Linked DNA regions of Callithrix jacchus. The protein of the gene in region 1 binds, or shares a complex with, the protein of each later gene. Links are inferred from orthologs where the notes say so. Each region holds a gene or a part of one and is shown in the gene's direction. Other genes may lie near its edges.

Region 1 (2,591 bases):
TTGGGATATATATATATATAATTTTTAAAGAGGATCTCGTTTTTTTCAGGTAGCCTCTATCCATATGAGGAAGTTATTAAACTAAAAATTAGGATATAAAGCAATAATAAGGAAGAGATGGATAATCTGCAAAGAGGAAGAAGAATTTACATCTGTCTGGAGCAGCCAGAGAAAATTCTAGGGAGATGCATTTGAGCTGCCTTTAAGGCAGATGCGTTCACCAAGGGAACAGACATTCCAAGTAGAGGGAACAGCTTGCACAAGGAACTGGGGAATGGGCACAACAGGTAACATGGAGAAGTACAGTTGTCCCTCAGTATCTGTGAGTGATTGGTTCCAGGACTCCATGGATACCAAAACTAGAAGATACTCAAGTCCCTGATATAAAATGGCTTGTATTTGCATATACACACATCCTCCCGTATAGTTTTTCTCTAGATTATTTAACAATACCCAATACAATGTAAATACTATGTAAATGGTTGTTATATTGTTTAGGGTATAATAACCTTTAAAAGTCTACACTTCGGTACACACTAATTTTTTTCCCAAATATTTTCAGTCGGGTTGGTTGAATTCACAAAACCCACTGAATGGAAGGGCCAAGTAGGGTGCCGTGAGGCATTGGAGGGAGGATATCAAAATAACTGGCTAGAGAGGAAGGAGGAACTTGAGGTGGAGCCGGAATGTGAGGAAATGGGTACTGTACTTGCTCACCAAACACCCTGGTTAGAGCTGAAATAACTCTTTGATGCTACAAACTCCTAAGCGACATAGTTGGGACCAGAACTCGCGCCTACTGACTTCTGGGTAATCCATCCCGGGTAGTGAAGGGACTGCCGTGCCGCCACGATAGGTCCGAAATACATAAGAGTTTATTTTCGGGGTTGCTCGTAGTCCACTCCTATTTGGGTTTCCCATTTCCCATCAGCCCCAAGCCAACCACGGATGCTTCCCGCCTCGCAGACAACACCCTCCACTAGGCACCCATACCGCTTTTAAAAGGCGACCAGAAGTTCCGGAGGCTGGCGTGCACGAACTCCAAAGACCAAGACCACAAGTCCCAGCATGCAACGCTCCCGGTTGAAAAGGGCCTCTCATAGCCACTAAGCGGACCATCATGCAACGCTCTATGAAGGGGCACGGCTCACTACAGGGGCGGCACACTTGTAGCGTCGCATACCTCGGCAACTCCAATTCCGTGACTGATGTGCTTCCGCTTCCGCTTCCGCCTCTGAGCCCTATGAGCGAGAGTTACACTACTTAGTCTCAGTGACGCCATTCTTCTGCGACCGCGTGGGCCCGGAGGTGCTGTGCGGTGTCCTCACTCCCGCTTGAAACGGTAGAGCGGTGACTTGTTTCCTGCGGCCTCTGACCTCGGAGCGAAGGGGAAAGCGGCGAGATGACGGACCGCTACACCATCCACAGCCAGCTGGAGCACTTGCAGTCCAAGTACATCGGCACGGGCCACGCCGACACCACCAAGTGGGAGTGGCTGGTGAACCAACACCGCGACTCGTACTGCTCCTACATGGGCCACTTCGACCTTCTCAACTACTTCGCCATTGCGGAGAATGAGAGCAAAGCGCGAGTCCGCTTCAACTTGATGGAGAAGATGCTGCAGCCTTGTGGACCGCCAGCCGACAAGCCCGAGGAGAACTGAGACTGCCTTACCAACGCCGTGCGCGGCGCCTCTCCCAGCGTTCCTCCCGTTTGCCAAATCCCTCGAGTATTCCTGCCTTCAAGGGACCGGCTCTCTCCATGGCTCCTGCGTCCCGCGCTTTCTGCGTATAGAAGTGCTTGCCGGGGAAGTCCCTCCTGACCCGCCTTCATGTGGACACTTTGGGACAGCATTGAGAGACCAGCAGGACCCCTGAGAACTGTGCTGGCGGAGAGGTCCTGCAGCCGGCAAGTCTCTGAGAAGAGGGCGTGGCGCTGGAGTGAGATGGGATTTGGCGTCTCGTTTTTGCCTAATTGATTGTCATTGGCTTTTTCCATAAAGTTTAGAAATCGTTCAGTCTCTTGGTGTGAACTTCCTGTGTTAGGGTGGAGGGCTCCGGAAAGAGCTCCAGGCACCGAGGTTCGCGAGAGTCCGAGTGGGAAATGGGTTTGGGTGAGGGTGCGAATGCCAGTGTCTGTGGCCAGGCACTTAGATATGCCTGTATACCTTTATAGTGTTCCCCGACTGCCACTTCCTCCAAGAGCTTTATTTTCAGTCTCACAATGACTTCAGTTTTGAAGTTTGCGGTTAATGTATCCCATCTTTTTCTTCTGTTTTAAAAATCTTTGCTGTCATTGTTTTCCCTAGCCTCTTTAAATTACATCCTTTCTTTTTCCTGGGAATTTGAAACCATGTCTCCAGAAATGACAAGATGGCAAGCGAGTTCATCCATTCTACATTCAACAAATATTTGTTGAGCTCTATGTGACAGGCATTTTCCCATGTTCTTGGGTATACATTAATGCTGGTGGTGGAGAAAGGTCAAACACTGTAGGCATAGCAAGCAAATGTTAGAAGGTGGTGCTGGGAGGGGAGAATTATGTATATGGTGTGGGTGGGGTAGCTGGTAGGGTTGTAATCTTAAATATGA
Region 2 (4,267 bases), on another chromosome or scaffold:
AAAAATCACTTAAATATCTTTTTATTTTAACAGATATTTATTTTGTTAGGTGGCTTTATGAAAGTGATATAAAATCTCTAAATTTTGAAAAGTGAGATAAAATATCTAAATAATATGGTTAATAGAGTTATGGCAAATATATTGATGTTGTTTATAACTGACTGTAGTTTTAGAAATCTACATAAATCTTTTTTGAAAGCATTATCTGCAATATATAATCTGCATTATGTATCACTACATCCGTAAATATATATTTTGGCCAAACACCAAAAAGAGCCTTTTGCAACTGTGGAAATTATCCTAACAAATGTGCTGCCAAGTCATGTCATTATACATTTGTCCAAACTCATAGAATATACAACATCAAGAGTAAACCCTAACATAAACTACAAACTTTGAATGATAATGATGTGCCAGTGTAGGTTAATGGTTGTAACAAATGTACCTCTCCGGAGGAGAATGTCATTCAGAGTAGGAGGCTGTTGGAGGGGGAAGGAAGTACAATTACTGACAGTAGGAAGCTGTTGGAGGGGGGAAACCTCTGTACCTTCTACTCAATTTTGCTGTGAACCTAAAACTTCTCTAAAAGTTGTCTATTAAAAAAAATTATCTTAACCTTGGCTTAATTTTTAAGTTTTTGAGGGTAGGTTATTATAATAGCTAACGTTTAATGAGCACTTATCTTTAATCCTAGTGAAACAGATGTTACTATCCTTGTTTTATAGTTGAGGACATTGAGGCTAAGAAAATGTAATTAAGGCACACACAGAATTTAAACATGCTTCTTATCTCAAGACTGAGTTGTTTTCCAGTTACTCTATGTATTTTCATTTTTTTCCTAATATCTGACTTCGAAATATCTTACGTTATTTTTAATTCCAAACCTTAGAGTCAATTATTAGGGCACCTTAGAGTTCATTATTTGGACATAACTATCCAGAAACCAGAAACGAGGGGGCGTGGACCCCACAGACTACAAGCCCTAAAATGAAATGAAGCGCCAGAAAGCCTAAAGGGCGGCAGCTCGCCCCTTGGCATGCTGGGGATGTAGTTTTCTCGCTCTCCCTTCTTCCCCGCCCTCGAGCACCCAGATTGGAGCTTCGTTCCTACTCCCTTGCAGGGCGCCACGGCTCGAAAGAGCCACTAGTCCTCGCCTGGTCATCCCAGTTCCGGAGGCTGACCTGGGGATGCGCCCTTGACGCCCTGAACCGCAGGACCTGCGTCGCTGCCAGGCAGGCCGGCGCTACGAACCTCACTCGCAGCTCCAGGACGCCGCACTCTACGCGCTGCTGCAGGAGTACGCGCAGCCTGGTCACCGTGGAAACGGAGCCGCTCCGTCACGGCGCATGCGAGAGGTCAAAAGTCATCCTAGTGAGTTCCGCTTCCGGTTCCGGGATCTTGTTTGTTGTCAGAAAAGATTCGTGGTTTCGGTGAGCTCTCAGAGTAGATTTCTAGCGTCCGTGCGTGGGGCCAGGTGTCCCGAGGTCCGCTGCTGCAGACATGGCGGCCTCTACTGCGGCCGGGAAACAGCGGATTCCCAAAGTGGCCAAGGTAGGGGATCGCGACGGGCCTTGTGGCAGGTGGCCTAGGAGAGGGGCTTGCCTTAGCCCTGGGGATGCCCCGGGCGGAAGAGAGTGTTCCTACCGGGGAGAAGGCTCACCCTGAGAGATGGAGACGAAGGATCCGCTGGTGGTGGGGCGTGGGCTCTTGTCATAGCGGAGCGCGACCTGCGTTGGCGTGGCCTTCGTTCTGGGGTGTTTGTGCAGTTGGGAGGAGTGGGGTGGATCAGTGAAGACTTATTGCGCCAAGCACTGCACTGGGCGCTGGGGAGCTACGCTCGGACGCGAAGCACAACAATACCCAAAACACGAGCTTGTGTATAAAGACGACCTTGCTAGATGTTGCTGATGCAAAGTAGAATATGCCATGGGCGTGAATAAGTGGGGCGTATGAGGGGGTCCTGAAAGTAAGTTTTGCAGAGGAAATGACCTTTAAGCTGAGACTTGAAGGCGGAATAGGAGTTAGCCCAGCTGACAGCGGAAGGCGAGAGTAGACGGAGTTGTATGGTATCATAAGTTCATTAAAGGGTAGGTTCACTATCTGGTGTTTCCCTCGATAGCTGATACTTACCAAGTGCTTAACATGGGGCAGGCTTTCTCTCAAGCCTTCACAGATACCCTCCCTCAAGTCTTTCTTGAGCCCAGATGACTCTGTTGAACTGGACCTTTACATAACCATTTATCTGACTCGCAGAGGTAATGCATATAGAGCAAGTAACACTGTGTCTGGCACTTAGTGCTTATTAAATATGAGCTATCACCATTATCATCATTACTTCACACGTGGCATTAAGTCTTTTATAATTCAATTACATAAACTTTTATTGGGCATCACTGCTCCAATGGAAATATAATGCACGCCACATATCTCATATCTACATTAAAAAGTAAAAAACAAAAAAGGTGATATTAGTTTTAATCATAGATATTTTATTTGGCCTAATGTATCCAAAATATTATTTCAATATTAATCAGTATAAAAAAATGTAATGAGGTAGTTTATTCTTTTTTTCATACTCCATCTTCAAAACCAGAGTGTATTTTACATCTACAGTCCACCCCATTTTGTACTAACCACATGTGACTCACAGCTACTGTGCTGGGCAGCACAGCTCTAAGCTACATTAGACTGTAAGCTTCTAAGACCTCAGGAAGCTTACAGTCTAATGATGGGAAGTTATTGAATTTTGCCTTGGACTTGAAGTGCCATGAAAAACCAAACTCAATTACCCACCAGGGGCATTAGCTAAGTTGAAGAATTCTGTAAATGCAGGTTGTAATGCTGTTAATAAGATGTGGTACACATCTTGATAAAACAAAACCTCTGGTCAGAATTTTACCTAGACTGCCTCAAAGTTTATTATTATACTCATCTAAAAGAGAAAGCTCGCTATTGTTTTTGCGACCTTTTTCAGTTGAGACTTTTGCCTATGGCTTTGTAGTAGACACCATGAATAACAAGGAAAACATAGTATTTTTTTCTTTTCTGTCTCATGGAGGAATGGGAACATGTCATACAAAGAGGGTATCTTGTGATAATACTAATGAAGTTCACATCCTAAAACAATGTATCCTAAAGGATGTAACATAAAACTGGTTTCTTAAACCCGTGTGAAGAGCATCTGCTAAAAATAGAAATGTTTTCTTTCTTAAAAGGTGAAAAACAAAGCCCCAGCTGAGGTACAGATAACTGCTGAACAGCTCTTAAGAGAGGCTAAAGAAAGAGAACTTGAGCTTCTTCCACCTCCACCTCAACAAAAGATCACAGATGAAGAAGAATTAAATGATTATAAACTAAGGAAAAGGAAGGTCAGTCGGTGTGATATCTTTCAGTCCACTAATTGTTAAGAAAGTATTGGTAGGCTGGGCATGGTGTTGCACGCCTGTAGTCCCAGCTACTTGGGAGGCTTAGGCAGGAGAATCATTTGAACCCGGGAGGTGGTGGTTGCAGTGAGCTGAGAACACGCCACTGCACTCCAGCCTGGTAACAGACCAAGACTCCGTCTCCAAAAAAAAGAATTTCTGTAGGGCAAGATGAGGCTAGTGTTTATAGCACATGAATAATGTACTTCTGGTTACCAGATAACAGCATTTTTCTGAACTATACAAAATATGCTATGAATTGTCTGGTTAAAGTACAAAGAAATTGAATCTGCATAATTTTTGGTGCTGAATCAAACATGGGTGGAAGTTTAGCAGGTGGAACAACTGGAACCAGCAGAGGGTATGCTTAGTAAAACTGCACTGTTGTGTACTTCTGCCTATACCACCTTCTGTGTTAAGAATTGAGATCTGGCTAGGCATGGTGGCTCACACCTGTAATCCCAGGACTTTGTGAGGCCAAAGTCCTGGCCTCAGCGGACAACCTGAGGTCAGGAGTTGGAGACCAGCCTAGTCAACATGGTAGAACCCCATCTCTACCAAAATTACAAAAAAATTTAGCCAGTTATGATGGCAGATGCCTGTAATCCCAGCTACTCAGGAGGCTGAGATATGAGAATCACTGAAACCTGCGAGGCAGAGGCTGCAGTGAGATTAAATCACACCACTGCACTCCAGCCTGCGCGACAGAGAGAGACTTCATCACAAAAAAACAAGGAATTGAGATCTGAGAAAGGACCATGAGAAAAGACTTGGGATCTGATTTGACCTCCTCACTCTAGAATGTGGGACTGTTTTAAAGCACGAATGCTATTATGTATGAAATT

The links. The genes of interacting proteins can lie anywhere in the genome.
Region 2: SF3B5 (region 1) and CRNKL1 share a complex: the UniProt entries of both Homo sapiens proteins name them as parts of the minor spliceosome. The link is inferred for Callithrix jacchus from reciprocal best matches to the Homo sapiens genes SF3B5 and CRNKL1.

Annotation. Positions count from the first base shown.
Region 1 is NC_133505.1:150,851,861-150,854,451, reverse strand, and holds SF3B5 (splicing factor 3B subunit 5), read left to right. Parts: upstream 1-1,282; 5' UTR 1,283-1,402; coding exon 1,403-1,663; 3' UTR 1,664-2,018; downstream 2,019-2,591. Other genes in the region: uncharacterized protein LOC118153004, read right to left, coding at 1,184-1,282. UniProt on the Homo sapiens protein: Component of the 17S U2 SnRNP complex of the spliceosome, a large ribonucleoprotein complex that removes introns from transcribed pre-mRNAs.
Region 2 is NC_133506.1:27,036,649-27,040,915, reverse strand, and holds the start of CRNKL1 (crooked neck-like protein 1), read left to right. Parts: upstream 1-1,350; 5' UTR 1,351-1,500; coding exon 1,501-1,551; intron 1,552-3,215; coding exon 3,216-3,368; intron 3,369-4,267. UniProt on the Homo sapiens protein: Involved in pre-mRNA splicing process. As a component of the minor spliceosome, involved in the splicing of U12-type introns in pre-mRNAs.